Linked DNA regions of Rhinolophus ferrumequinum. The main gene of each other region encodes a partner of the protein of the gene in region 2 in a complex. Links are inferred from orthologs where the notes say so. Each region holds a gene or a part of one and is shown on either strand. Other genes may lie near its edges.

Region 1 (7,952 bases), on a different chromosome or scaffold from region 2:
GAAATGTGGTCCTCGCACCAGCAGCATCCATATCACCTGGGAGCTGATAGAAGTACAAACTGATAGGTCCTACTAACCTTCCTACTGAGGGTGAAGCCTAGCAATGTTTTAACAAACTGGCCAGGTATTTCTGATGAACTTCGCCACAGAGTAAGCACGACCATCTCACTGTGCTGAGAAGAGTGTATTTTTCACATGTGGCCCCTAAACACTCCATCTAATGCTTGGTCCAAAGAAGAAATCATCTCGTTCTATTCTAGAAAACCAGGCTAGAGTGTGCTTTTTGACAGACATTTCAATACAGGAGATCTAAGAGTTTCAAGGGTAGTTTTTCTTTACGAACAAATTTTAGAACATACCTTGTTTCCATCTACAAGCCTTTACTACTAACAGGTTGCCTGCACGTGAAGGATATTCATTCATTCACAGAAAGAGGCCTAGCTCACATCGGGGAGCTTACCAGTGTCACTTCATCTCCTTGGACGGACACATCAGGCCTTCGGAAGTGACACAAGGCTACAATGGCAGCAATGCTGGCAGCATCAATAATATTTCCATCATGATTTAATAAATGCAGGTCCACTCGTATTTGCCAAACCTGAATGTGAATTTAAAACAAAAATAAATCCTAACTGATCACAACCAGTGGCCTTTTAAAAGGAAAAGTAACACTGTATGCAAATTTTTCTTCTGCTGTTAAAACGTGATTATTCCTCCTATTGTATCAATAAAACTGTATTTAGAAAAATGTTAAGCCAGACCAATATCTGAAATACCACCAGTTCACCTTTATATGAATCATTTCACAACAGCAAAATATAAGCCCTAAATATATAGAGCCATTCTACATTTAACACTAAGATTTCCCTATCTCCAAAACTAATTATATTTTTATTGTCTCCTAACTTAAAAACCTCAAACCCTTAGGTTTTACTTGACAAATGATAATCTTACAAGTAATGCAAATAGGAAGTGTCATATTCAAGTATGGAATGTGGAAAGGCTAAGTGACTTCTGGAGTCACAAAAGATGGTCGAAATACCCTAATCAAGGAAAAAGTACTAATGTCATCATGCAGAATAATTTATTGAGAGTAAGATTTCCAATGTCAGCCTACCACGGACTCACTGTGTAGCCTTGTATAAGTCAATAAACCTATCCAAATGAAGGATTTAATCTGTTCCTCAGTTTTTCATTCATTAAAAAAAGGAAACCATCTGCTTATCAAGTCAAACAACATAAGAAAATAAATAAAGACATATGAAAAACCGCAAGTTCTTTGAGTAAGACATTTTTTCACAAATCCAAGTTGCTACTTTTATCAATGTTTTTTGTTCCTTCACAGAGAAATGACACAAAGTTCTATGGCTGGCTCTCAGGAACATTTGAAGTGAAGTAAACCTGAGTTAAAGAAGCTCTAAGAATTAACGTAATCAACAATACTCATGCTAAGATTAAGAATTTTGAGCAGATTTCCCACCTTTTCACCAGCAACAACACAGAGAGATTCAGTGTCTATACACTTCGAATTTCTTAGACATCTTTCCAAGAGACGATTCAACTTCACCAAGAGATCTGACTGCCTATGAAAATAGGAATGGGCTAATGTCAACCAAGCGTTAAAACAATACCTCACTGCTATTAGATTCTCCTCTGGTTAAAGCAGCTTAGAAGAAAATTAAAATACCTGCCGGGTTCAAAAGCTGGGGCAGCCATCTGAGAGAGTTCAAGGTTAAAAAAAAGAATACCTTCTGTTGCCCTGTTGAGTTTTGGAGAAACAAGTTCACAGGAAACCTGTCCAAGAACTCTGCAAAGATAAAGTACAAATCTGTTAACTAAATATATTGCCTTTCCAATTAACAAAAAAACTAAAACAGATACCAATTAAGTTTCAATCATATTCTGAGTAATAACATACTCATCATGATATATCAGAGGTTGATATTACATATGTAGTGGCAGAATATATACAGGAATAAGATACATAGTGGCATACCCAAAGAGATGACAGGAAAAAACATCTCATTGCAATACTGACTATTCCACAGATCGTTTTAAAAAAAACAAATCCCCTTAACTTCTCTTTTCTAAAATAAATATTTACTGATACAAGATGGCACGAAAACTTGAGATTTCTTAAGAGTTTTCCTATGGCATGCATGGTTGGCCAATATTATCTGACCAACGTCCTCACAACCGCCAAATGAATATTAAAAATCTAATTCTCATGTCACGCAGGAAAAAGGAAAGTAGGACCTACTTACTGACAACTGAAGGAAACAAATTCATGTGACAGAATGTACATTTACGATTTAAAATTTAAAACGTGACTATAAAGCACCTTGCATTAAAGAAAATACACTTATTTTTGCAGCTAAACAAAATAACGTGCAGGATTGTTAGCTGCTCTGTAAACAACTAAGTCAGTTAGGTTCTTTTAAACTTTTCCCCGTTGAGCTTATGTTTAATTTGAAGCCAAAGTTACCTTGTTTTCCCAAGTTCCACAATACAGCACCCATAATCGGTTCCAAATGAGATTCTGATGTTCCTATAGTCGTAGGTTTGTCTGCCATCCAGGCGCTGGAAACACAATATACACCAGCTTATTCACCTCAACAGATACTGGGCAGCTACTCTGAGCCCGGGCCCTGGGCGAAGCCCTCGGAGGGAAGCGGGATCCTCCGCCTCCGCCCCAGGAAAGTAGAAACTAGGTGCCCGGGCAAAGAACCCCCTGTAGCCAAATAAAGCCTGGTGGACGAGGGACGCACCGGCCGTCCCCCAGGGGCTCCGGGGGCCTGCGGGGACCAGGTCTGTGTCCCAGCCGGAAGACTGCCGCGGGCCGGGAGACCCGAGCAGCCGAAGCTCCCCGGGACCGTTTACCTTCTTCTCCTCGATGGCGCGGAGGAGGAAGCGGCGCTCGCAGTTTGAAAGTGGTGTCTCTTTCATGATGTCGGGTCCCGGGACCCAGGGGCACCGGAATCCGTACGGAGACGGGGACCCGAGCTTCTCCACGCGCACCCTGCTCGCCGGGAGGCGCAGGACCTCTACGTCATCAGGGCTCGGCGGCCCGAGGTGCGAACGCGAAGGCTGGCGGCCGCTAGTGCGCACGCGCCCAGCGAGGATGGCGCGGGCCGAGCGGGCCGCCGAGAGCCCGGCCGCCGAGGGGGGCGCACTTCTGAGCGGAAAGGTCTGAGTCTTGTCTCCTCAAGCGTAGGGGACAGAAGGACCCGGAAGTAAGCGTCAGGGATGGAAATGAATTGCAGTGTGGCGCTCTCACGGCACCCTTTCCTCAGTTGTAGCGGGGTGGGCCGCACAGGTGTTCCTGCTGTTTTACTGGTGAGGAAGGCGACGTTTGTTCACCAGGACGCTGCAGAGGCAGAGTGTCCGGCAGATTCAGGGGAGAAACACTGAATGTAGGGGCGCAGGAGGAGAGGAGGGGGAAGAAAGTTGAGCCACGAGCTGCAGTGAAACCTCGGAGACCTGAGAAGGTGACAGAAACTGAGGCTGTCCCACTTCGTAACCAGTGGTGTTATAACTACCATTGGCTGGAACAAAATGTGCTGTTGATTTCTTACAGTCGCCCCAGTTATTTTAAACCGATTGACTTATTTTTATGGGTATAGAGGAAACAGCGTGTCCCTGCTGCCAAACCACTAAGCTTTCTTTGGAGAGGCAGCATCAAGGAGTATTAAATGCAGGAAACCCAACTACTTGGGTTCAAATAATGACTCGGCCGTTTTCTACTTCTGTGACCCTAGTCCAGTTAGCCTATGTGCTTCATTGTACTTATCTGCAAAACTGGAGTGACAGACGTCTGTACATGCTTAGAACAGTGCCCAGTCTGGTGTAAGCGCTATTACTGACATGTTTGCATAGCATTATTTTGTTTCTATTTGCTTCAGAGGCGGTAGGCACTGGAAATCCTATGGCAGGCTCTATTCCTTTCTTTTGTCTCTTACAGGTTTTTTTTTTTTTCTATCAGTGATGCATTTTAGTCTCACTTTGTAACACTTGCAATTCATGTACCTAGTTATCTGTGAGGCCCTCCTGTGTTCCAAGAATAATTCAAGTGCTGGATAAGCCGGGTGGACAGATACTGTCCCTCAAGGAATTTATATTCTCTTTGGAGGAGACAAGCAAGAAAAATAAGTTCACGGACTAAGTGCTATCCGAGAATGGGGATGCTACTTTAATAGGGGTATTTGCAGGAAGAGGTCACTTTGGAGAGGTGACCTTTGAGTTAAGTAAATCCTTAGTGATGAGAAGGAACAGCCATGATACCATCTGGAGGAAAGGAAAAGTGTTTCAAGCAAAGGAAGCAACATTAGCCAAGACTGAGATAGGATGAGCTGACATTGTCTGGAGACAGGAATTGTGAAGTAGGAGGAAAGTGCACAGAAATTATGTCCACGAGCTCAGATCGTGGACTGGTTTTCAAAATAAGGAAGAATACAGGGTACAGGCCCTTTAAGTTCTTTAACAATGTAAGTTTGTATTTATAGTACAGTTTCACTATAATTCCTGGTTAAGTTCATCATTTAAATCCTTGGATTCTTCTATGGACATTTAGTAATTTCTCTTTCCCTTCAGAAATGAAATAGGCCTTTATTGAAACCGTCTATCCTGGGAGGCAGTTTGGCTGTGGAAGAATAGACTTTTGGTTTCAGATATACTTCAGCTCAAATGGACTTTGGGTGAGTTAAATAATCCTGCTGAGTGAGGGCTTCTTTAGGTTAGAAATAATAATTGCTTTGTGTTAAGTGGTGGGGATGAAAGCACCTAACACAGTGTTCTGGACACGGTAGCTCTTCAGATGTCCGTGTCCTTCCTGTACCCCCTACCTGCCTCTCCACATCATGTGGCAGTAGTTTGTCCTGTGATCTCACTTCTGTGATGGATCTAGGAAAAGGTGTAGAGTTTTCATTTGCTCAGTTTTTGTCATGTTGTGTGGAGTGACCACTTCCAAGCTTACTACTGTTGGACCAGAAACTGGAAGTCGCATGAAGTGAAAACCTATAGCCGTTTCCTTTTAGCAAACATGCATATAACACTTACTATGTGCCAGGCCCTAATTTAAGCACTTACAAATATTAATCCTAATAATTACCCTGTAAGGTAGGTAAAAGTATTATTTTGGGGGGGGGGGAACCCAAGGCACAGAGAGTCACACAGCCCAGGGTCACACAGCTAGTGAATCCTAGGAGCAGGATTCATACCCAAGCGGTCTGTCTCAAGAGACTGTATTCGTAACCGCTGCGCTGTACTGCGTCTCGTAAATGGGAACCCATTTCTGTGCCAAGCGGGTGATCTTCGCCTTAGCCCTGAACGAGTTCTTTTGCTGTCTCTGTGAGGATCTTGACTTCCTCTCTTGAGTACTTTACAGTTGACATTATGTAGAGAAGAAAGCTGCTGTTCTTAGATTATCTGAACTCAGTTTCTTGTGCTTAGGCTTGGCACGCAATTAGAAGTACAGTGATGAAGTAGGGCTCATAAATGCAGAGACGTGAGCAGGTCCAACTGTAACTCCACAGCTTGCACACGAGAGAGAATGCGACTGGCACTGAACTGCTAACAATGAGCCATAGGAGAAGCTGGACGTGCAAAAGTGGTGTTGGCTCTTCATGGAGAGACTTACAGAATATGTCATTTGTACAACCTTAGCCACTCTTTCAGCCCCAAAGCCCAGGGATGTTGCACCTATATCATTGATTGACTCTTTACTCAAGTTAATGATTTAAGAGGGGAAGTTTCTACCTTATTTCTTGTTTTCCTCTTTCTTAAGTTGCCTAGGAAGGGAGGCTTAGTTTGTTGCAGAAGCAGCTACTTCAGGAGAAGTGGGAGAACCCCAGACGATGCTGACTCTATGTGAGGTAACAGTGGACAGCCAGGCCAGAAGGTGGTAGGTGTCACATCTCTTTAGCGAGCAATGCAGCATTATTTTGAGAGAGAACTTCAGTGGTGGGCAGCTTCTGAGATGACCCCCATGATGCCCACCTCCTGGTATTCAGGGCCTGTGTAATCCTCCCCCTTTCAGTGACCTGCCTCTAACCAATAGATATCTCAACGTGGAGGGGATGACACGTCTGTGATTAGATTGCAGAGAATGTAACTTCTATCTTGCTAGAAGATTCTGTCCCTTGTTGGGTTTGTGAAGCAAGTTTCTATGTGAGGGGGTGTCCTCCATCCAACAGCCATGGAGGTGTTGAGCCCCACAATCCGCAGCCCACATGAAACTGAGTACAGCCCACCATCACGTAGGTGAGTTGCAGACAGGTCCATTCAAGTTGTGCTTTCAGTTGAGACCCAGCCCTGGCTGATGTCTTGATTGCGTCCCTAAGAGAGGCCATTAAGCAGACCTCACTTGGCTCTGCCTAGTTTCCTGACTCATAGAAACTTGGTGATGAATGTGTGTTGTTTAAGCTGCTAAGAATCAGTAGGCAGATAAAGCAATTTCGAGAACCAACTCTCCTGAGGTAAGTACTACTTCTTTCTTTCATGTTTCACTGGCCTGTTTCCATCTTGTTGATAGTGCAAAGGAATCTCCATTTGACATTCTTTGCAACTTCTGAGCTCATCAAAAGGCTGCTGAAACATTTTGCGAAGGAATTTGTGGTACATAAAATGCTAGATCTGTGTCACTGAAGTGTGCTTTCTTTAGTGACCAGGACATTTTTTAATGATCTAACGGGTTGCCTGAAAGGAAAGCCTGGTTTGTATCTCAAGAATCTTGCTCTACTTAAGTACTAATGGACTAGAACTGTAATCTCTACCACTGGTAATAAAAATTGCAGGGGGAAATAATGACTTCTAGGACGCAAATGGAAAAGCCTTGGCCAACTTTGCTTTTGCTTTAAAAAGTAAATAAATAAACTGAGCCTGAAAATGTAGTTTGTTGAAAGTCATTGACAAAAATCCATCCAGTAATGGACTTTTTAATCTGATCCAATAATGTTATCTGAAAAGGCAGAATGCGTATTAGAATCTCAGTTATGAGTACTTATCTGTAAAATACCAGTATCTGCTTATAAACAGGGGCTGGGAGGGAAGATTGAAATTATAGAGATTATATATTATGTTTGATGGTGGTATTTTTCTTTACTTTTCATTTGATATCACTGGTAAAAATTGGATTGTGTAAGAAGTAAAACTCTGTAAGAATCTAGTCATTTATACAAGTATTTCCTGTGGTCCTACTATGTGCCAGGCTCTATTCTAAGCACTGGGACAATGCAATACACACAATAGTCACAGTCCCTTAGAGCTTATGTTATAGAGACAGGTGGACAGTCCAATCATCTGCAGACAAGCACATGAATAATGGCTGACAGTGATAAGTGATATAAAGAAAAGTAAAGCCAGGCCAGGGGAAGAGGAGGGTCAGGAGAGCATAATCAGGAAGGAGCGTCTCCGATGAGGAGGCGTTTGAGGGAGCCTGAAAATGTGGGCATGAAGGAGTATGTAAGTGGAGTGTGGCATTCAAGATGATCAAATAGGATGTGAGCAAGGTTGCTGGAGACAAATAAGGTGACTTCTTTGAGGTTCTTTAGCAAGTACTTAGCACACGTGGACGTGGTTTCATGAGCAGGAGTTTAATAGATAAGGAGCTCAGGCTCCAGAGCCAATGGCCTGGATGAACTTCCAGCTGCAGCTTATGAGCTGGGTGACCTTGGGCAAGGTGTAAACCTTTCTGGAAAAAAAATGCAGCTAATAATACCCTCATAAAGTGGTGCTGCGGATTAAATACTATGTGCAAAGCGCTTGGAGTAGCTCTCAGCCCACATTTAGCAATAATAAAGATTAGTTACAGTGACTGTTCTTACTAAGTTTCCTCCATTACAATACTTATTCTTTATTAAGGGAGATCAACACATGTCACTCTACAGGGATACAACAATATACCTTTTAAAACGCAAGGGCTCTAGCCTGCACATTGGCAAGCTCAATTTCCTAAG
Region 2 (8,121 bases):
GGCCTCAGCACACCCAGCTCACTGCCACCTCAGGGCCTTTGCACAGACTGTTCATCGGGACAGTTCCACCCCAGCCTCATGTCTCCCTCACTCTGGTCCAGCTCTGCTCCAATGTCACTTTCTCAGTGATGTCATCGTCTGTCACCATCTGCTGCACCCTATTAAAAGAGCCCCACCTCTACCCTTGTCCCTTGCTTTGCTCCATGTCCCTCTGTAGCATGTCGTAGCCCCTTTTCAATCTCTGGGCACAAGCTGAATGCGGGAAGCTTCCTGGGTCCCCGGGAAGAGCCCCCCCCCCCCGACCCCCCCCAATCCCCCCCCCCCCCGCAGCTCACGTCTTTCAGCACCCTTGAACTTGATGGTTCTGTGCCGGGGCAGCCGCGGGCTGGAGGTCACCTCAGCCAGGAGCCCAGAGCCGCAGAAGCCCAGGCTGCCGCTGCGGTTTCTGAGCACCTGCTTCAGCTCCTGGTTCTCCTGGAGCAGCTGCACGAGCTGGCGCAGCTCCTCGTTCTCCTGCGCCAGCCGCTGGATCTCCTGCCGCAGGCCCTCATAGCTGCTGAGGAGGGACATGCCTGGCCGTGGGGGTAGCAGCGGCCAGCAGCTGGCGGGCTGGCCAGGGACAGCGGAGCGTAGCATTGTGAGGTCAGTGCCACCCCTGCCCCCGCACCTCGGCCACATTCCGGGGCTTCAGAGCCACGGCCCAGTGGCTCTGACCACCAGTAGCAGGGCGTGCGGACTGCTGATGTCTAGCCTCCCCCAGGGCCAAATGACTAGCGCAGCCCAGATAGGCGCTGGCCTTGGAGTCCCTCTAGGAAGACCCCTCCTGGAAGACAGAAACTCCTTCATCTCTGCCCAGTACGGGTGTGTTGCAGGGAAGGGAGTCGAGATTCAGGCATCCCCACTTGCCCATCTGCCCGTCCCCACCTGCCTATGCCAGGTTGTGGGGCTGGGTGACTGGGCACGGTCCCCGAGGTGGTTATGGCCAGCACAGCGTCTGAAGGGTCAGGAGGGAGGGTGTTTGAGCTGCCCTGAGGGAGGGGCCACTGGCCCAGCAGCAGCAGGAGCTGGACAGTGGTAACTCAGCTAGTCAGAGCTCAAGAGCAGCGGTGAGCCAGCGAGCATGCCAGGCTGGGGCTGCAGGCCAAGAGATGGGCCTGTTGCAGGGGTACAGGGAGTGGCATTGTCACATGGAGGGTGGTGCCCTGGACGTGGCCCTCCATTCAGGGGCAGGCAGCAGGCAGGCCCCATGACAGGTCTGAGGACAGCAGATTCCTGGGGCGGGCAGCCACCCCCAAGGCTGACAATTGGGTTTCCATTTTCCAACATATGAAGGACTTCCTTCATGGAGTGTGTCTTCTAACGGGACAGTTCTGTTGCCGTCATTTTGAGTGTTTTCCTCATGTTACGTTTATCGCTTATTTCACATCATCGTTTCCTATTAACTGGTTTGCTCAGTGCAGTTTCTACTCATTAACCGGTAGGTTTTCCTGGAACTTGCGTGGCCCTTTCCCAGCTGCTGCAGTGTGGCATGGTGACTTCCAGTGGGGAGTTCTCACTGGGGCCGGCTGTGGGGTGACACCTCTGAGAGCAGTGTTCCAGGACACATGGTGGCAGCTGCACTTAATCTCAGTAGAAATAATGACCATTTTAATGGTTCCTATAATTCGGAAATAACCCTAAGTCTAAGGATTATGGAGTACAGTATTTCTGACAGAACTAGTGATATTACCCCCCAAAAAATGACAGGCTCGGACCAGTCAACTTCAACTCAGACACCCTGGAAGCTGGAAGGTGAGCTGTGGGGGCAGAATTCTATGAGAGCGCAAGGTTTCCTGCCCAGTGGACACGCCCTGCATGATCCCAGGACTGTGACTGGCGTGGATTTTACGAACAACATTAAGTTGTGTTATGTGGCGAACTGAGGTATCCTGGCTGAGTCTGACCTCATCAGGTGAGCCCCTCGAAGGACAGGCCTCTTCCTGGTGAAAGAGAGGCAATGTGTAAGAGAGATTCCATGCCAGGGAGATTCTCCATGTGGCAAGGAATGTGGACAGCCTCTAGGAGCTGAAATATCACAGTCAAAATATTGAGAGACAGAGAAAATCTCAAAAGTCACAACATAAAAATGATTCATCACATAGAAGACCAACACCTAATTCCCCATCAGAAACAGTGGGGGCCAGAGACAATGGGATGACATCCTCGGAGTCGTTAAAAAGCTCAAGCAAGAATCCTACCCAGTGTACTGGAGAACGATCATTTGGAAATTAAGGTGAAATAAAGACAGTCTGAGATGAACAAAAATAGGATTTGGTACTAGCAGACCTACCTTACAAGAAATACTAAAGAAATTTGTTCATGCTGAAAGGAAGTCGGATCAGACAGTCATTCAAATCCAAGCACTCAGTGCAGACACTGTACTCACAGACGTCTGACCTACAGAGCTGTGAGTTAACGGATGCACTTTTAAGCCACTGCTTCGCGATCAGTTGTTACCCAACAGAAAACTAGCACAGCCTCCCAGTTGAAGGAAGCTTGGGACTTGATGATAAAAGAGGCAGAAACGATGTGTACTCTTCCATGGAAGTCAGCACTGTGAGACCTGGGATGGGACTTTGAGTAGCTACTCTCCCAACTGCTATGCGCCCTCCTTCCTGGCAGAAGCAACCCATTCCACCTTGCCGGAGGAGCCTGGCAGTGGCCTCACCCCTTCGAGGGGCCCACCTGGTGAAGTGAGGCTCAGCCAGGATACCTCAGCTCGCCATATAACATAACCTAATGTTGGGCGTAAAATCCATTCTAGTCACAGTCCTGGGATCGTGCAAGGTGTGCCCACCGGGCAGCCAATTCCTGCAACCCAAAGATGCACGTGCTGCCCTCCCCTCAAGGGGCAGTCCATTTCTCATCCCGTGGAATGAACTGGCCATGTGCCTTATTTTTGACCAGAGAAATGTGATGGAAGTGACAGCGAGCTGGTGCCAAGCCTTGACCGTGAAAGGGCTGGCAGGGGTAGGATGTCCAGGCAGGCTGAGTGACCCTCTCACTCTGGATATTGACCAAAGGGCAAACAGCATTTGTTCCAGGAGGTCGACTAAGTCTTGGTAAGAGCAGCAGGAATCAGTGGCATTTGAGCCCGAAACTGCTGCTGCCCAACCCCAGCTCCCCACTCTGAAGGCTCTCCTCCAAGGGGGCAGAGGCCAGAACTCGGGGCTCCAGTTGCAGGGTGGAGGTTCCACTGGGAAGGACAACGCCTCCCATCCCCCCCATAGATATGGGGCACTGCTCTGGGTGAAGCAGGCGTCCACCCGCTCCCGCCCAGGGTGAGCGGCGGGCTGGGAGGCTAGCAGCTCCACAGCAAGGCTGAGCAGGCTGGCTTTCTCTGGAGGCTGTGTGGTTTTGTGGAAGACAATGGCTACCTTAGTGGCGAGCAGTTACGAGAACGCTCTAACAAATTACCACAAACTTGGAAGCCTTAAAACAACAGACCTTTCTTCTCTTTCAGTTCTGGAGGCCAGAACTCCAAGCTGAGTGTTACGCACTAAAATCAAGGTGTCAGCAGGAATGATTCCTTCTGGAGGCTCCAGAGAATTCTTTCCTTCCCTTGTCCTTGGCTTGGGCTACATCACTCCAATCTCTGTCACTGTGGTCACCTCACCTTCTGTCTTCCGTATCCAAATCTCCCTCTGCTTCTACTTTAAAAGGATATTTGTGATTACATTTGGGGCCCACCTGGAAAATCCAGGACAAGCTCCCAGATCCTTAACGTAATCATCTGCCAAGTTCCTTTTACCATACAAGTAACATTCACAGCTATCAGACATCAGGACCTGGACGTCTTTGGCGGGGATTCTGCCGCCCATTACACTGGCTGTACAGGGGGCAATCTTTCTCCAGCAGCAGAGGACAGTGCCTCACTGGTGGGGAGCTCAAGCAGTCTTTGCCCAACAGGGGGCTGAACCCTAAGCCATGCTAACCCAGATGTTGGGGAGCTACCCTTAAATATAAGCACTGGGGTGGGGGGGAAGGGGGTGGGCTGGGAGGTGACATCAGCAGCTGCACACTGGCAGGAAACTGACTTCACAGCACTGGCCCAGACAAGCCACTAAACGAATAAACTACTCAAACAGCAACATAGCCCATGGAGCGACTGGCTACTCATGGTCCAGGGCCACTGCATAGATTATCTAAAGTGTTTCGCTTTCAACAAAAAGTTACCAGACCTGCAGAGAAACAAGTTAGCGTGACAGCTGCACAGAAGAGGTTAGCGATAGTAACTGCCTTTGAAGGGGCGGATTCTGGACTTGAGGACACACAGCCATGCCCCACGAAGGGCAGTGGCGGGGCATACATCCTGGCACAACTACCCCACAGGTTTCACGCAGCCAACAAAATATTAATGAGTTCCACAGGACAATTTAGATGGATTTCATAAGGTATTTTTGGGGTGAAAAACAGAATGTGTATGAAATGACCCCATTTTAAAAAACAACCAGAATTCCAAAAGCCACTATGGCTATACCCATACAACTTCCTGTATTTGTGTATAATTTGTATGTACGGAGAAAAACATGCAAATGACCATTTATTAGGTTAAAGTCAATGGGGGGAGGGGGTGTGCAGACAGAAAAACCAAGCCAATGTGGAAAACAACATTAAAACTGCTCTGAGGGGCCGGCCCGGTGGCTCAGGCGGTTGGAGCTCCGTGCTCCTAACTCCGAAGGCTGCCAGTTCGATTCCCACATGGGCCAGTAGTCTCTCAACTACAAGGCTGGCATGCAGGTTCAACTTCTCCACTCCTGCAAGGGATGGTGGGCTGTGACCCCCTGCAACTAACAACTGGCAACTGGACCTGGAGCTGAGCTGCCCCCTCCACAAACTAAGACTGAATGGACAACTTGACTTGGAAAAAAGTCCTGGAAGTGCACACTGTTCCCCAATAAAGTCCCGTTTAAAAAAAAAAAAAAACTGCTCTGAAAAGAACTGTGCCCATGTGTATGCATAATATAAAATTATGTCTATTTTTAAATGGACAAAAGGAAACACTAAACAGGAAGGAAAGTGTCCCAACTTGGGAGAATGGGTATTTACGACTGCGGAGCAACTGGAAGCCCGTAAGGACGAAGCCAGGATTGCTTCCAGCCCTCGCTGGTCCCGCCCGCGAACCTCCCAGGAGACTCCAGGCTTCAAAGAGAAGCAACGCCGAGCCCGGCGCGGGGCACAGGCGCGGCGTGACGACCAGGGCGCCGTGAGAACAGCCCCGTGACATAGGGACGCGGTCGGGGGATCCTGCCTCCCGCGGGTCTCCAGCCCTGGCGGCCGCAGAAAAGCTCCCCAAACGGCCCCGGGCACAGCCTTCTCCTCCTGGGCCAGCACCGCCCAAGTCCCCCGAAGGCGGCAACGAGGACAATGACGCCACCCGGGACCGTAACTTTGAGTCCGGAAGCGGGGAGCCGGCCCGCCGGAAACGCTAGACTTCCGGGAGACCGGAAGTGGGGATCCGGGCCTCCGGGAACCGTAGTTCGCGCAGAGGCGTCTGGCGGCAGAGCAACATGGCGGGGCTGGAGCTCCTGTCGGACCAGGGCTACCGGGTAGACGGGCGGCGTGCCGGGGAGCTGCGCAAGATCCAGGCGCGCATGGGCGTGTTCGCGCAGGCCGACGGCTCGGCCTACATCGAGCAGGGCAACACCAAGGCGCTAGCGGTGGTCTACGGGCCGCACGAGGCGAGTGGGCGTGCGCGAGCCGGGCACCGCGGGCGGGTGGGCGCAGGCTCGGGAGGCGGCGGCCGGCGCGTCTCCGTTTACGCAGCACATCTTCCGGGCCGAGGCTCAATCGGACTAAAAGTGGAAGTCCTTACGCCGCGGTGCACGGTGGTCCCTGCCCTTTCCACCGGCCACTGTCTCCTGCGCCCTCCCCTCCTCCATGCTCTTCTGCAAGGCGCCAGGCACGCTCCCCCTCGTTTCCTCACCTCTCTACTCCGACTTCACGGCCTGGATGATACCTCCCCAGACCACCTTATTCAAGTCCCGTCCCCTACAACCACACGCTTCCCTGCTTTTCAGCATCTGTCACCTCAGACACCAATTTAACTTCTCTTTCTCGTTGGTCTCCCCACTGGAACATAAGCTCCAGGAGGAGAGGGACTTTAAAGCCGCCTGTTTTAGTGCCATGTCTCCAGCGCCGTAACGGTGCCTGCTAGCACAGGCACTGAAAAAAAAGTTTGCTTAGCGCATGAGTTTAGGAGCCCAGCTTTCCTGGGGGAGACTAGTTAGGAGGGGGAAGGCCAGAGGGGGTGGAAACAAGCGTGGCACGTTTGCGGAGCAGAAAGGCTGCTGCTGGGGCAGATGGGGAATAATTCCAAATGAGATCGAGAGCTTTCTAGCGATGGCTTTGTAGACCAGGGGTAGGACGCAGGGTTTTATCTCACATGTGATGGGGAGCCTTTGGAAGGTGAGCAGGTTATGTGGTTGTGCAGAGGAGACAGAAGCAGACTTGATATTTGTAAACATACTGGCTCTGGCTACAAATGGAAACTGGGTTGGGAGGGGATGAGGCAGGGATGGAAACAGGCCTGTAAGACAGAGGAGATCCAGCAGTGATGGTGGCTTAGACTGTTCAGTTGCACTGGTTGAGATGTTATAGGTAGTGGGGAGGGAGGAGGGAGGCTGAAGTTCTAGGCCTGAGCCAGAAGGGCTAATGTCAGCTGGGAGGAATGGGCCTGGCTCATGTGTCTTTTCTCCCCCCAGATCCGGGGCTCCCGGGCACGAGCCCTGCCAGACAGGGCCCTGGTGAACTGTCAGTACAGTTCTGCAACCTTCAGCACAGGTGAGCGCAAGCGGCGGCCACATGGGGATCGGAAGTCTTGTGAGATGGGCCTGCAACTGCGTCAGACCTTCGAGGCGGCCATCCTGACACAGCTGCATCCTCGCTCCCAGATTGACATCTATGTGCAGGTGAGTGGTGAGCAGGCAGCAGCCCTCCCCCCAGGGACCGGAAGGGTGTGAGGGTCGGCAGCCCAGTGCACTGATGCCACTGGGGGGGGGGTCCCTGCAGGTGCTCCAGGCAGATGGTGGGACCTATGCAGCTTGTGTGAACGCAGCCACACTGGCAGTGCTGGACGCTGGGGTGCCTATGCGGGACTTTGTGTGCGCCTGCTCAGCCGGTTTTGTGGACGGCACACCTCTGGCAGACCTCAGCCACGTGGAGGAAGCTGCTGGTGGCCCCCAGCTGGCCCTGGCCCTGCTGCCTGCCTCAGGCCAGATCGCACTGCTGGAGATGGATGCCAGGCTGCATGAGGACCATCTGGAGCAGGTGCTGGAGGCCGCGGCGCGGGCTGCCCGCGATGTGCATGCCCTGCTGGACCGTGTGGTCCGGCAACATGTGCGCGAGGCCTCTGTCTTGCTGGGGGACTGAGCATCGGCCCCCATGCCCAGAATAAAACCCACAGTCCACAGCGCTTCGAACGCCCCACGGCACTTCGTGCTCTCAGAGCCTGGCTCCTGGGGGTGACCAGGGACCCACCCTGCACATGAACTACATGCCTCTTGCAGCCTCAGGATTCAAAGCCTGGAGAAGAAGGGGCGGGGGTTGGGGGTGGGGGCGAGTGTGTGGGTGGAGAGAGCAGCTTATGCCCAGAATGGTTCAAGGCAGCTGAGCAGTCAGGTGGGGCCTGGCTTGGTGAGCTAGGCCAGTAGTAGACTGGGGCCCTGAGCACAGGGCTGCGGGGGAGCTCAGCCGGCTGGGTGCCCACCCTGGAGATGTGGGGGGCCATGTCCCACATCCTGTGGACTATGGCTTGGACCAAATGGAACTCTTTGGGCCTATGCTGCAATTACCTTGGGCTCCAAAAATTCAACAGACACATGTTCTCACCTGGAGTATTCTCTCGGCTCTGACCGGTCCCCAGTGAGACACAGACACCCTCCTCCCCATCACTGCACCTGACTCTTTAGCAGACGCCCCCTTTCCTCCACCTCCTGCTCTCAGACCATCAGCCCCTGTAGTCCACATCCAGAGACTGCCTCTCCCCCACAATGCCAGTCACCTCCTGACCTGGACAGGAGTGCTCCGCAGCCACTGCGAACCCTGATTTGGCTGGTAGTACCTACCATCTTCGCCGTCCTC
Region 3 (7,538 bases), on a different chromosome or scaffold from region 2:
CAGGTGGAGTGGTGATGGCCTGGTAGTAATGGAAGACGATGAGGATCAGATTCCAGTGACTATAGAAGAAATGCCAGCAGAGCCGTGGCACTGAGTAGGTGCGGAGGATGAGGGGCAGGATACACAGGTAGGCGATGGCCACAATGGAGCTGGTCAGCACGATCACCAGCACCACGAACACCTGCCAATACCAGGGAGGGGGGAGATGCAGGGAGAGCCTGCCAACACCCAGAGCAACTCAGGATGTCCCTGCAGTGGGGGCTGCTGCGGGTCCCTCAGACACAGGTCCCTCTGCCGCCCCCAAACAGGCCTCTTCCGGAGCGTCACTCACCACTCCACACCAGCGGATCACGTTGTCCACCAGCCAGTAGATGGGCTCAAAGGCAGCATCGACAGCGGTGTCGCTGCCCCCGAAGGAGTTGTAGAGCAGGGAGCGCAGGCAGACCTTGCCATAGCGCCAGCGCCGCACCAGGTCCCGGAGCAGAGGGGGACAGCGGCGCCGGGAGCCCAGTAGCAGAAGCAGGCGCAGGCAGAGGCGGGCGGGGCCCAGCAGCAGGCTCCGCTGGCCCTGCATGGCTCCTAGGAGAGCACACCATTGTGGGTGGCCAGCCTGGGTGCCGTCCCTCCCTATTCCACCGATGGGGAGAGCCTGAGCACCAGCTTAGAGGCAAAGACCTCAGACTGAGGCCTGGCTGGGCCAGTCACCAGCTGTGGGAAGTAGGACAGTCACTTCACCTCTCTACGGAATGTATGGTGCCAGTGTCCCAACCAGATGACAGGGAGTAGGGTGTGCAGGTTCTGAGCAGGCAGAAATCATACTTACATTACACCGTGTGGTTGCACAGCAAATCCCAGACAGTGCACACCTAGAGTAAAGGGCCACAATAAACAGGCGAAGGACAGGTAGGCAGCTCCAAGCCAAAGCAGGGTCTCTGGAGTTGTCTGTGTAGACGGCCCACTGGGTGGAGTACAGCCAATGTACACAACACTGCCCCCTGTGTCTCTGTGGGTATGGCCAGTGCAGCAGGGGTTTCCCAGGGCCCTCACCTGTCCCGGCCCTTCGACCTACTTCCTAACAATTGCTCTTCGTTCAGGAACAGCGTGGGGGAAAGGGGGCGCTACACAGCGTGTGGACCCTGCACTTCACTCTTCCCTGGTACTGAGTCTTGGCAAAATATACTCATCCTTCCTACTCTCTCTGGGCTGACATTACAGACCCAACCTGGTAGTATGTCCTGTCAGGACAGCTCAACTACGCCTCGCACGACGTAAGATGCTTTGTCTCAATTCCATTCCTAGCCCTACCCCAAGGCTACAGAAGCCAAGACAACTTTGGGTATTCATAGCAGAATAACACCACTGACAGGAAAATACTGGTGGTAGGGGAAGTGGCGGGGGGAGGAGGACTCCATGCTGGTGGCTCATGAAAACCACAAGGCCTGCCCTTGCAGTTGAGTCGCCCCCACCCTGTTCTAGCTACACTCAAGAGCCGCCTCTGCCGCTGCTGCTCTTGGCCCCAAGCTTCCCAACCAGCCTTCCCAGCTCTTTAGCCCTTTGTATGGCTCCTCTGCAAGTGCCTTCATCTCTTCCATGTGGTTTCTACCTCAGCCAACAGCCGTGGGAGGCCAGTGCCCAGGCAATGCCCACAAGAGAAGACAGATTCCTTCCATGACTGTCTCCTCATTCTGCAGATTAAAGTCCTTACTAGAAAAGAACTCATCTGATTTTCCCCTACGAAGAGTACTGTCCTCAGCAACTCCACTGACTTATTTAACAGGCAGCTCAAAACCCAGCAGAAACTGGAGGAGGCGGCTGCACTGTAGGATGGTTTCAGTGCAGTAACTGGAGCAAAGTACTCGCCTTGCATCCTGGCTCATCACCACAAGAGGCCTTTCAAAGACAGTTAATTACCTCCTTCCACAAACCCTGTAACGACCTAAGGGAAAAAGAAATCCAGCAGACAAGGCCAGCAGAGAAAGAGAAGAAAGGCAATTCAGTAGGGACCTACTCTCTACACGAGGATAAAGAAACTGGCCATTCCCATATCACCTCCTAGGGGCTAGAGAATTAAGAAGCAATGAAGAAGATGGAAAATGAAAACTCAATCTTCCTACCTCCTTTGAGTTAGGACTCCTATTGTTTGGAACCATGATTTGGCTGAAAATATGAATTTTTGAAATAGTATATATGGCCACCATAATCAAATGTTTAAAAGTGGGACAAAATATTTTACACCACAACAAGTCCAAATGACTTAGATTGTCCCTTACTATGGCTAATGGCGAGTTTCCTATTTGCTAAATACTTTTTATAGCAATAGCTTGCAAATAAGATATATCCCTCACCTACAATAAACACGAATTATATGTCATCTCTTCTGTCTACAAAAAAAAACAAAAAAAATTTCCTCCTCAGATTCTCCACTCTTTGGATTGTTTTCAATCATCTCCAGAATCTTCACAGGAAATGCCTGCCTCAAGGACTAGACTTACCAACTCTCGCCTGCCCCATAACTTGACTTAGGGTTCACTTCTGCCCTTAAGTGGTTCTGTGACCTTGGACAAATCACCAAATCCTGCTGGAACTCAATTTCCTTGTGTTACCATTCAGTGAGCAGATAGAAGTAAACGCTAAGGTCCCTTCCAAGTCTAACCCTTTATGATTCCATATACACACTTGGTAACGTATAAATGAAATGTTCGTAAAGAGCTTAGCATGATACCCGGCTCATGGGCATGCTCAATAAATACTTGTTGAATGAATGACCTGGGATGCAGAAGTGGACAGGCTTGTCAGATGTCTACCTGTCCTATAAATAACAGCAAGGGCATTCCTGCCAATGTGATAACATTAAATAAGTGTCTGCTGCTATTAGTCTTCATTTTTAGAATCATAGCACTTAAGAGCTAGAAGGCATTTTAGAAAACAAGTCTATCCAACTAAAAATCAACCCAAACATGTAAACTTGTAGATGTAGAGCTACATATCAGATTTGAATGAATAAAGTCTCAAGCCAAGCCCCCCACTCATTTTAGTTAGTGGGGTTTGGGGAAGCCAGGGAAGAGATATGTATTGTAGTCCACGGGGTCACAACTGAACATACGGAGTTTTCATCTCAGGAAACTCAGTTAAAGCAGAACTTGACAAATTGTGAAGGGGATGGTGAGGGGTGGATGACCAGAGTGACCAGGGAAGGAAAAAGAGCAAAGCACAGCTTCACTATCACCCCAAGTACAAGCCCTGAGCACTCTGACCCCTCAGTAGTAACCACAGGCCATAGGGACATCTGCCACCAGATTAGAGGGGATTGCAGGCCATGGCGCACTCCTCTTCTCAAGGCTCTAAGTCACCATCTGTTTCCCAAGGGGAAATGGGATTGGAGGATGGCGGCTTACACAGGGAAAAACAGATTCCAAAGCCACCAGACGGCAGAGGAAACTGATGAAAGCCGTGACACCTCTCATCTGGACAAAGATGCTGCGCTCAGGACGTTTGCAATCTCCAGCAGTACTGTCAACCATCAGTAACAGCAACACTTTATTCATGTGCAGACTTCCCTTTCGGACTAACACGCTGGGATGAGAAAAAGTTAAGGAATGGCCCACACGACTCTTGAAAGGATACGACTGTAAGATCGGAAACTGCAGTTACAAAAACCGGGGCATGGTTTTATTTCTCAATGAGGGTGGTATGGTTAAAGTGTGATGGACTGGAAGTCAAAAAATGTGGGTTCCGGTTTGTGCTCTACCTTAAACTATCTTCGAGACACTGGATAATTCAAATCCTATTTCTGGATCTAAGTTTGTAAATCTGTGAAATGGGCGACGTGGGCTGGTCGGCCTTTCAACTTGGCGCGTTACGGCTGCCCGGAGGGCACGAAAAGGGCACGGACGTGCAGGGCTAGGCGAGGAGACAGCAGGAAGCCGGGCTCACGATAAGGCCCCGGAACAGGGCCCGACCCTAGAAAAAGGGACAGGACTGGGGAGCAAAGGCCGCGGCTTCGCTCTTACCTGCCGCCTGCCGACTCCCCAATCAGCCAAATCCAGCCCGCAGCCTCTGCTCACTGCCACCCCCTCCAGCTCCGCGCCCCAGGACAGCCCGGCTCAATCCAATCAACCATGGCCCGCCGCCCACAGAGCCAGCCTGCGGACCCGGACCCGCCGCCAGACCATCCTCAACCACAAGCGCAAGCGCACGCGTTCCCGGAGCTCCTCCCCCGGACTCGGCCCGGGACGATCTGGGAAATGTAGTTCACCCCTCGAGAAGGCCTTCCCGGAGATCACGTGACAAGAGCACCAATTGGTGCGTTTCTTACTGAGGAACTGGATTTGGGCCAATGAGAAGTCGGCTTCGTTTCTCTCGGGGTTTGGGGCAGCGATAGTCATGGCGCCACCCGTGAGGTACTGCATCCCCGGTAAGTGAGGGGTGCCCATTGTGAATCTTGGATAGGGACAGAGGAAGGAAGGCTGGATGGCCAACAGATTCTGGGCACACGTGGCTGATGCAGCGTTTTTTCTGCAGGCGAACGGCTCTGTAACTTGGAGGAGGCCAGCCCAGGCAGCGGCACCTACACCCGGCACGGCTACATCTTTTCGTCGCTTGCTGGCTGCATGACGAAAAGCAGCGAGAATGGCGCGGTAAAGGCGGCTTCCCACCTCCTCTGTCTCTGCTTTTCCCTTAGGTTGCCCTTGATTTCGCAGTCCTTATGCAGCGGCTCCGCGGACGCGTCTTTAGAGCTTCACCAGTAGAAGAGTTGGTCTCTAAGTTTCTTCCAGCTGTGGTCCCTGCTGCTGGACACTTAGCGCAGCCCAGTTAGTTGTGTTGGTCACTCTTGGTTGTGTTCCTGACACTCAGGAGAGGAAGTTGAGGGAAGAGCAGAGGTGGGCGCAGCCCTGCCGTGAGCTGCTGAATCCTGCCCGAATGTCACCTACCTATCTGGCTTCATCCATATTCCCACCTCACTGCAATCTAGTCTAGTCAGTCATAGAGGCTTCTTTCAGTGTCGCTAACGCACTAAGCTCTCTCCTGCCACAGAACCTTTATAGGAACGCCATCTGTCTGGAACACGCTCCTCTCTCCTCCTTAGCCTATTTAATCCCTACCTATCTTTCAGATAGCCTCTCTAAGTCTCACTTTCTCAGAGGAGCCCTCCTAGACTTCCCTGCTTAGGACACCTGTCCACTAGCTGAGGAAAGGAGTTTTGGTTTTTGTTTACTGTGTGTTTTGTTAAACACAAAGAATTGTATTCCTTTCCTTCCAAGCACTTATCTCAGCATATAATTAAACACTCAGTTCCCCATTAGACTTTTCTCCTACTAAACTCAAGATCCATGAAAGCAGGCCTTACCACCATAACTCAGAGAGTACCACAAGGTAACTGTTCAATAAACATTTGTCGAGTGCGTTAGTAAAACTATCCTTGTGCTGGAGGCTGGTCTAGGATTAACTCAAGATCAGATAAGCAGACTTCGAAGGAACAGCTTAAAGACAGGTAACATAGTAGAAAGAGGATTCAGAATTAGAACACTCTTAGGTGCTGGCTAACTAAACCTTGATTCTACTTTATGTAAGAAACAAACTCTCTGGGTTTCCGTTGTTCCTCATCTGTAAAATGAGAGGCTTTTTATTCAGTCAATTTTGGGAATGTCCTTGACCTTCCTCAGTTTGTTCATTTCATAGATACAGGTATCTGTTGAGCATGTTCATGTGCCACTCTCAGTAGTGACCTCTAAGGGGATGGTAATGAGCCAAATATACATGATCTCTGCTGTCAAGGGGCACAGGTAAATTGTAAACAAATAAGTGTTCAAATGCGATGACTGCTTTAAAAGAATACGACAGGATACCATGAGAACGTCATCATAAGCAAACCCACCCTAGTCACTGGAAGTGACATTTAACCAGAATCTAAAGAATACGTAAGAGTTGGGTGGGTGGGAGGACTTAGTACTGGCGGAAAGAACAGGTTGAACAGACATCCTGAGATGGAAAGAAACTTAGTGAGTTGATGAAACTGAAAGAAGGCCAGGAGAGCTGAAGCATAGTGAACAAGGACGAGATTAATAAAAGATGAGGTTCAGAAATACTATCTATCTTATTCCAATAGTCAATGCCGTGCTCAAAGAGAAAACTACAAGTATTCCCTTAAACTAGAAGTAAACAAGTATGGCCACTATTACATAACATTTATTTAGAAATTCTAGCCTATACAATAAAATGAGAAACAGAAAGAAGCGGTATACCTGGAGAAAAGAGTCAAATTTATCCACGATTATAGGCCATATAATTATGTACCAATAAATTCCAAGAAAATCACCAAAAACTTGTTAGAACTAATCTGAAATGGTTACATTATATCTTTTAGCGGCATTCTTCCTGTGGCCCCTTGGCCTTCCTATTTCCTAAAATGTCTAGGCTTCTGCTCTAGGCTACAAATGTATCTGTATTCCACCTGCCCTCATGACTTCAACTAAGGAATTTCTATATTATTCTCAAGCCACGAATACCTTTACCCAAGGCTTAGCCAGGATACTCACATTTTATTGTTTTCTTTGTAGCTTCCTGTCGTGTCTGTAATGAGAGAAACAGAGTCCCAGTTACTGCCAGATGTCGGGACTATTGTAACCTGTAAGGTAGGTTAGTCCTAACTTCCCTGCTTAGGGCACCTGTCCAATGCTGAAATCATGATCTGTGTAGAACTGCCCTGTTCAATATGGTAGCCACTAGCCACATATGGCCATTTAAATTTAAGTAAATTAAAATTTTAAATTTATTTATCAGTTCCACTAGCTACATTTCAAGTGCTTACTAGCCACAGGTGGTTAGTGACTGCCATATTGATCAACATAGAACATTTCTATCATCACAGAAAGTTTTACTGGACTGTGCTGGTCTAGAGATTTCTAGGATAATGATCAAGGCAGCCAAGTCAGGCTTGCGTAGTTCTTTCACAGAGCTGGTTCCCTGAGTACATATATATTTTTTACCTGTGTCTGGGAACTAGGGGTACCAAAGGGTGGTGGAGGCCTATTTTTGAACTTCTGAAGTGGGACCTTTTTCTGCAGAGAAGCAAGAGACTTGAATACTGTAGCGTTCCTATTAAATGTAAAGTCTTTTAGGATGTTTCATGGGAAGTACAAATTAATACTGTAATGATCAGTAACTATAATATATCATCCTACCCTCTACCAAGTTAAATTAACTTGGAGCTCTCAGTTTATTTCTTTATACATTGCTCCAGCAGAAAATCTATGTGTAATTCTGAAAATAACTAGAGAGGCAGTAATCCAGATGTTATTGCAGCAGCTGAAATGTACACTTAAATTCCATCCACTACACAGGCCTCTGTTAAAGGTCTAGATTTGCTATAATGCCCTGTGTCTATGCTAGACGTCTGTATTTTTCAAAATCTAAACCATATTATTTCATTTGATTCCCACAGTAACTCTTAGAGTGGCTCGTATTCCATTTTACATATATCACTTACGCAGGGATAAGTAGGAGTTAACTTGTCTTAAATTCTATGCTTAGTTGGGTTG
Region 4 (7,497 bases), on a different chromosome or scaffold from region 2:
AAGATGAATACAAGTCATGTTTGACTTCTGCAATTACAAGAGGTGCTCAAAGTGGTTATCATCAGGGTCCAGACACTTCTGATTACCGCGAACTACTGCTTGAGCAACGCTGACCAAAGTGTCCACTTGTATACATTTTTTTGGCACCTCCAGTATTTATATTTTTATATATATATGTATATATATAAACACACACACACATACTGGTGTATATATAAGTGTGTGTATACACACACACATTAGAGTCCCTTGAATTTCCATATGAGTTTTAGGATCAGTTTGTCAATTTCTGCAATGAGGACAGTAGGGATTTTGATAGGAATTATTATCTTAACAATATTAAATTTTCTGATCCATGAACACGAGGTACCTTTCCAATTATTTAGATCTTTAACTTCTTTTAACAACATTTATAGTTTCTAGAGTTTAAGTTTGGCATTTCTTCTGTTAAATTTATTCCCAAATGTTTTATTCTTTTTGATACTACTGTAAATGGAATGGTTATCTTAATTTCATTTTTCGGTTGTTCAAGTGTACAGAAATGCAATTGATTTTTGTATATTATTCTTAAATTTAGCAACCATGCTGAACTCATTTTATTAGTTCTAATGTTTTTTTAAATGAATTCCTCAGGGTTTTCTATATATCAGATTGTATCACCTACGTATAGAGAATTTTACTTCTTCCATTGCAATCTGGATACCTTTTCTTTCTTTTTCTTGCCGAATTGCCTGGGATAGAATCTCCAGTACAATGTTGAATGGAAGCGCAGGGAGCAGATTTCCTTGTCTTTTTCCTATCTTTGGGGAAAAGCTTTCAGTCTTTTGCCATGAAGTATGATGTTAGCTGTAGGTTTTTTGCAGATGCCCTTTTTTTAAGTTCCTTTCTAATCCTAGTTTATTAAGTGTTTTTAATCATGACAGGGTACTGGACTTTTTCAAAAGCTTTTTCCTGCATTTGTTGAGATGATAATGTGGTTTTTGTCCTTTATTCTATTGATATGGTATATTACATTAATTGATTTCAGATGTTAAAAGAACTTGCAATCCTGGGATCATTTGGTCTTGGTGTATAATCCTTTATATACGTTGCTGAATTCAGTTTGCTAGTATTTTATGGAGGATTTCTGTATCTATATTCATAAGGGATGTTGATCTGTAGTTTTCTTTTCCTGTGGTATCTTTGGTTTGATATCGGTAATTCTGGCTTCATAGCATGAATTGGAATATGTTCCCTATTCTAATTTTTTTTGTTGTTTTTTTGAAAGAGTTTATGAAGAATGGGCATTAATTCTTCAAATGTTTGGTAGAATTTGTCTGTGAAGCCATCCAGAGCTGGTGAGAATCTATCTTATTGCTGTTACTGACCAGTTTGTTGATCTTACAACCTCATGAGACCTTGGGCCAGTTATCAATATATTGCCGCTCAGCTCTACACTCACCCTTCACTGCCTGCTCTGAGAAAATGGATCTGGGCCTTTAAAATATTTTTCCTTTGCTATCTATCATGAAGATAAGCTTTATAGGTAGAAGGCCCAGCAGAGGCATTGCAGGAAGAATAGGTTTTGCTTCCTGGCTGCAGTGTGCTCTCTGGTATACTTCCACTGAAGCTGCAGGGCAGCTTCTCCAGTATCTGCTCCTGTTTTGCTTGGTGGCCTGAAGAACCCAGCAGCCAGCCATTTTACCTTAAAAGTTTTGTAACAGGTTTTTAGGAGACCCCTCCACAGGAACAGCTTTCCCCAGCATCCTCGAAATGCCAGCAAGTTCTGGAGGGTGGATTTCTAGCAAGTTCCACTGGCACAGGTTACCAGTGACTTCTTGCCACTTAATGAGCCATAGCCATGCCCTCTCCAACAAGGTCTCAGTCAGTCATTCCAAGGGGGAGGGGCTCTTCTTGGGTGCTCTATCTCAGTACTCGGGGTAATACATGGTTCTTATATCTACTCTTACACTCTTTAAAGCTCTCTTTAGTTCTTCATAGACAGAATTCTTTGTGATTAAAAGCATCTGTAGCAAGTAGATGCTCATTTGTGCAGTAGTAATTCTGAGCATTTATGTTTACATCCTTTACTTGAATAAAGATATTAACATTACTTCCATGGAGTCTTTTGCTATTAATTTAATCAGCATGCAGTTAATTTGTAGTTTTTAGAAACCAGTAAACTTAAAAATGTTAAAGGTTCACTCAAATAGTACCTCTTTCGGCACACCTATCCTGACCCCTACCTTCCTCCCACACAGAGGTACTGTAACTATTTTATCCTTTGTAATTTTAGGGCTGACACTAATCAGGCTGCTACAGCCACTGTAACGCTTGGTATTTTCCTGTGAAGACAGTGAACCCCCTCAGGGCAAGAACCATCATCCAGCAAAGGCTCAACTAGTGTTGCAGACTGAAAAGAAAAAAATCGCCTAGCCTCACTAATCAACAAAGAAAAGCAACCGTGAGATTCCACTTTTCCAACTCCTTAAAGTAGAAAGATTACTAACGACGAAGTTCTGAGGAAAGAGTCTAGAAGACCGTGTTCCGGTCCAACCTTTTTCTGAAGGGCAATCTGGTAGTTTCCCGAAGAAAATACTCAGAAATGAGGAGGTATACTCCAGAGGGAGTCGAGAATGGCGCCCCTATTGCATTGACTCCCAGGCAACAAGCCCCCACACAGGGCAGATCCACCAGAAAGCCCCCATGCGCGGGCTGAGAGCGGGGCGTGGTCTCGACTCCGGAAGTGTGCCTGCGACTGCATTCCTCAATTGCTGCGGCCACTTGCACACCACGAAAAGGTAACACACACAGTTCGGAAACGCAAACTTCATAACTGCAACCCCCCGGGACCCTGGGACCAGACCGCGGGTGGCCGAAGCCCACTGGTCTCCACGCCCTCCCTCCGATCTTGGCTTCCCACCCACCCGCACGCGGGTGGACCTCGCATCCCCAGAAACCTGCACATCAACCCCGGTGGTGCTCTCTCACTTACCAGAGGCCGCAAGACGCCCAGGCTGCGAAGCACAGGCATGGCGGCACGCGACGCAGAGACCAGGCTGCCTTCCCCGTGCGTTCAGCCCTCTGTCCCGCCCCTCCGGGTGTGTCGGGAAAGGTTTGGCCCACGTGGTCCTGATGACCTGCCCCTCGGGACCGGAACTTCCGGTCTTCAGGGAAAGGACTTACTATTGGCCTCTGGTTTCATCTGTTGACTTGCGGGAGAGCTGGATGGATGCCTGTGTGCCACCCCTACAGGGAAGTGGACTTGATGGAGCTCCTTCGACAGGTGGGGGCAGTTTTTTCCAGAGTCTCCTCTACTGATGTGGGGTGCTTGACGGACAATCCTGGGATTACTTCCCCATCTCCCTGTCTGCCTGGCCCTGATCCTAAGTTATTGAGCACCTTTCGGGCACCGTCTCGGGCCAGCCACACTCGAAGCAGTTTTGGTCACCGATACCTACCGGTTCCAGGCCCTCTGGAGCTGGGTTGGAGTGGGAAGGTGAGAAAGAATTTGCACCACCTCTTCTGCCAGGGTAAGTGACCAAGAACAGTTCTTAAAATCTGCAAAACAACACAAGTTACATTTCAGTTGATTTCTTATTGAGTTGGCTCACCAATATCTTGCCAGATTTTGGGGGCATGTTATAGATGGTCTGTCTTAAAAATCCTAAAAATCTAAAAATTTGCGTTGGAAGCAGATGCCTCAAAAAGATGAGCAGAGGCAAGCGACTCCCTAAGAGTTTTCACCCCTGCTGGGAATCTGATGAAGCTCTAATTGGAGGTGCCATTTGGCAGAGGAAATGGTGATTTCAAGTTAAGAGCTCTAAAAGTCGGAAGAGCAGACCTGAAGTGCTATGGATTTGGAATTCAGCTATTTCTACATGGGCAACTAAAGTGTGCTCCCGGGAAAAGAGAAGCAAGGACTCAACTGCAGTTACTGATTTTCCCAGGCCATGTAAGGGTAGCTAAATTATGTGGAAACGTACATGTGATATGTTTATATTTACAGAAAAAAAAGTCTAGGGAGAAATACATACCAAAATGTTAACATCCACTCATTCATCAGGTATTACCTATTTTGAGCCACACCCTTGGCTACAAAGAATGAGAAGTAGATGACAGTCTAGCAAGGGAGACAAATGGGTGCAAGCCTAGTATGTTTTATTTTTCTTATTTTCTTTTTATTCTTCTCTGTTTTCCGTAGTGTGAATAGATATCTTCTCTAGCAACAACAGAAAAGGTTTTACTTTGTAAAAGAAAGATACTTTTTCCTTCTGAGAGCGGAGTCGGAAGGTAGGGCCAACTCCGGAAGCCACTCTACGCGGTGCCCAAAGTTCGCTCGGAACCCTAAGTGGGAGCGTGTTGTATCCCAGCGTGCGACCCGGAAGTAGAGGCTCTGCGCTCAACTCGAGCTGCGTGTTTCTTGTGCTGACCTGCAGGCTGCAGGGTAGGCAGCCGGCTAGAGACACGACAGCTACCTTGGAGGGACCCGCCGGCCTACAGGGATCAGGCTTCACAGACGTAGATTCAAGTCCAACAGACCGCTACTACCGAAAACGGAAAGCCTTGGGCGGGCTGCGATTGGACGCGGTGCTAGAAGGGGAAGCCGGAAACTGGTGGCGCCCGGGATGGCTGAGGCGGCGGCTGTCGCGGGCGAGTCCCTTGGGGGTGGCAGAGCGCGGGCGGCGCGCACTGTCCTAGGTCAGGTGGTGCTCCCGGGTGAGGAGCTTCTGCTGCCGGAGCAGGAGGATGCAGATGGTCCGGGAGGTGCAGGGGAGCAACCGCTGCGCCTAAATGCCGGGGCGCGCTCCCGGGTGCGCGTTGTGTGCGGTCCGGGCTTGCGACGCTGTGGCGACCGCCTGCTGGTCACCAAGTGTGGCCGCCTCCGACATAAGGAGCCCAGCAGCGGTAGCGGCGGCGGCGTTTACTGGGTAGACTCGCAGCAGAAACGGGTGAGTTGGGACTCCGGAGCAGTGGTACGGCCATGAGAGTGGTATCCTCACTCTGGGAAGACTTCTGGGAAGAGCCAGGGAAGGAGCGCTGGAGCCCTCCTGTATTAAGGCTAGCCTAGGGCCAAGCGTGTCTGGGTCCATCTCTGCATCTCCTATAGAGAGACTGAACAACTGGTACGTGGCTCTAGAAGGGCGACCGGGAGGGAAAGGAATCTGGAAATGTTGGCATACAAGGGATAAGGACTGTGAGATATGGTCATAGTCTTCAAAATCCCAAAAGTCAGGGAGAACCGAGCTTATCACGAGGGTGTCCCAAAATGTAGAACTATCAATGAGGGTATCACAGGGAGTTGTTTCTCTTAGAATAAGTAAGAATTTCATATAGGAAAATTTGTCTAACGATGAAATGGTCTTTCTTGGTTGTGAAGACCCCCTTTGCCACTGGACTTATGTGCAGACAGAAGCTAGGGACTTCGTGATAAGGATACTGAAGATGTATGGGATACCTGCTCAAGTGAACAGACTATTAGAAGCTGTAAACTTGAGAGTTACATGATGTGATTGTTTTTCTTTTACTGAAAGTGGCATATGATCAAGTTTGTTGTAAGATTTGTATTAATTTGTAAACCAGGATTTCAAAATATTTTCTAAATATCCCTAGTGACGAACATAATAAAGTAACCACTAAGGATCTGCTGAAGATATCTTCAAAGATATCTTGAAAATGATTGTTATTTATGGTTGTACTCATTCTGATTTCTTTCGTAGTATGTTCCAGTGAAAGGAGACCATGTGATTGGCATAGTGACAGCTAAATCTGGAGATACATTCAAAGTTGATGTTGGAGGGAGTGAGCCAGCTTCTTTGTCTTACTTGGCATTTGAAGGTGCAACTAAAAGAAACAGACCAAATGTGCAGGTAAAGATGGCAACCTTTGGTTTCAAAAGAAGAAAAGCACATATCCACATATCCAGAAGCCTATCTGAATTGTCTCCAAAGCATGACCTTTTCCCCCAGTATAGGATGATCTTCGAGCATCTGTGATCACTCCATGCTCCAAGAGTTCCTTTTGATGCTCCAGCTCTGGGACCAGAGCCACATACTTATATTACATTTGCTACATTGGGGGTTGTTTCATCTCAACTGTGTTGAAAGGTTATATCTGTTCTCTCTGTTACCTGTTATGTCCATATCTACTGGACATAGAAGTAAGCAAGCCATGGGCTTAGGAAGGAAGGAGGGATAAATGGTGCAAATTGCCTTATCCACCATCCATCCATCCTGATTGTATGTCCTGGGACTGTCATCTCACAACTTCAGTCACATCACTGTTTCCCAAGAATCTTCCTGGAGTTGACAGAGGAGTAGTCATGTTTCCTCAAGTTTTCTATTTGGGCTTTTCAGGTAGCATAGTCACATTTCCTGTACAACCAAACCAGAATTTTGGTTTCTTTGTCCCTTCTCACCTTACATATGTCTTTTGTTGGTTAATCCTATTGATCCTATTTGATTCTATCTCAAAGTCCACCCCTGCATCTCCATTTTGCAAGTTCAGGCCTTAGGTACCTCTTGATTAGAGTTGGTCAGTTACTTTCTCATTAACATCCCTGCCTGTACTCTTTGCCCTTCCATCCAGGATTTTGAGAGGTGAGCACTGAGAGCCTCACACACTCTGTAGGCTTTCTTCAAAGCATACAGATTTCCTTGGCATTATACTCTTAAGTCTTCCCTCATCCATAATTATATCTTCATACAGCTATGCTTGAACCACATCAAACTATGTAACAGCACTACTGAACTCATAATTTCCTGCCCATGTACATTTACTCAGGCTGTTCTCTGTCTGGATTGTTTAGTCCCCTTTTCAGCCTGTGGAACACAAACTCATCTTTTAAGACCCAGGAAAACACCAACACTTCTGTAAAACCATCTGTAATCTTCAGTCACTTTTTCTTATAACTTTGCTCTAGCACTTACTGCATTCAGCCTTTGATGAAGTTTGTTGTTTATATGTGCATCTCCACTGCCCTCCAAAACCAAATGCTTCTGAAAGGCAGAGAATGTTTTGTTCCTTCTAGTTCCTATAGTCACCAACAAATAGTAGGTACTAACAGAACAAGTTCATTCTCAATTTCCTTAGTTCATCATTTTGAAGTTCAAGTCTGAGGTTTTCACGTAAATCTTGCATGGAGAAGTGTCATTGTATTACCATTTTCCATTTTGCTTTGAATAATACCCGTGCCCGTAACTTTTCTGTCAATCTTCTGTAATTCCCGAGAACAGTGCTAATAGAACTTTCTGTGATGATGCTGTTTTACATCCACACTGATTAGTATGGGTGCCCCTGGCCATAGGAGTCTGTTGAGCCCTTGAAATATGGCTAATGCAAGTAAGGAAATGAATTTTTAGTGTCTGATTTGAATTAACTTAAAAGTAAGTGTAAATAACTACATGTGGGTAACAGCTACCAGATTGGACAGTGTAACCCTAGAGTGTGTTTCCTGGCTTTGAGATGGCTCCCAGTCTGGGGATTTCTGGTGGGTGAAGCAGGAGGGTACATGTGTTA

The links.
Region 1: EXOSC4 (region 2) and EXOSC9 share a complex: the UniProt entries of both Homo sapiens proteins name them as parts of the RNA exosome core complex. The link is inferred for Rhinolophus ferrumequinum from reciprocal best matches to the Homo sapiens genes EXOSC4 and EXOSC9.
Region 3: EXOSC4 (region 2) and EXOSC1 share a complex: the UniProt entries of both Homo sapiens proteins name them as parts of the RNA exosome core complex. The link is inferred for Rhinolophus ferrumequinum from reciprocal best matches to the Homo sapiens genes EXOSC4 and EXOSC1.
Region 4: EXOSC4 (region 2) and EXOSC3 share a complex: the UniProt entries of both Homo sapiens proteins name them as parts of the RNA exosome core complex. The link is inferred for Rhinolophus ferrumequinum from reciprocal best matches to the Homo sapiens genes EXOSC4 and EXOSC3.

The regions. Positions count from the first base shown.
Region 1 is NC_046301.1:4,659,376-4,667,327, reverse strand, and holds the start of EXOSC9 (exosome complex component RRP45), read right to left. Parts: upstream 3,066-7,952; 5' UTR 2,947-3,065; coding exon 2,881-2,946; intron 2,581-2,880; coding exon 2,486-2,580; intron 1,808-2,485; coding exon 1,688-1,807; intron 1,584-1,687; coding exon 1,481-1,583; intron 599-1,480; coding exon 461-598; intron 1-460. UniProt on the Homo sapiens protein: Non-catalytic component of the RNA exosome complex which has 3'->5' exoribonuclease activity and participates in a multitude of cellular RNA processing and degradation events.
Region 2 is NC_046297.1:72,919,183-72,927,303, forward strand, and holds EXOSC4 (exosome complex component RRP41), read left to right. Parts: upstream 1-5,071; 5' UTR 5,072-5,549; coding exon 5,550-5,720; intron 5,721-6,743; coding exon 6,744-6,950; intron 6,951-7,050; coding exon 7,051-7,410; 3' UTR 7,411-7,450; downstream 7,451-8,121. Other genes in the region: OPLAH (5-oxoprolinase), read right to left, coding at 336-678. UniProt on the Homo sapiens protein: Non-catalytic component of the RNA exosome complex which has 3'->5' exoribonuclease activity and participates in a multitude of cellular RNA processing and degradation events.
Region 3 is NC_046299.1:26,347,247-26,354,784, forward strand, and holds the start of EXOSC1 (exosome complex component CSL4), read left to right. Parts: upstream 1-4,328; 5' UTR 4,329-4,383; coding exon 4,384-4,414; intron 4,415-4,521; coding exon 4,522-4,637; intron 4,638-6,557; coding exon 6,558-6,632; intron 6,633-7,538. Other genes in the region: palmitoyltransferase ZDHHC16, read right to left, coding at 1-181, 332-574. UniProt on the Homo sapiens protein: Non-catalytic component of the RNA exosome complex which has 3'->5' exoribonuclease activity and participates in a multitude of cellular RNA processing and degradation events.
Region 4 is NC_046295.1:53,395,190-53,402,686, reverse strand, and holds the start of EXOSC3 (exosome complex component RRP40), read left to right. Parts: upstream 1-4,370; 5' UTR 4,371-4,607; coding exon 4,608-4,931; intron 4,932-5,699; coding exon 5,700-5,849; intron 5,850-7,497. Other genes in the region: uncharacterized protein LOC117031691, read right to left, coding at 2,975-3,013. UniProt on the Homo sapiens protein: Non-catalytic component of the RNA exosome complex which has 3'->5' exoribonuclease activity and participates in a multitude of cellular RNA processing and degradation events.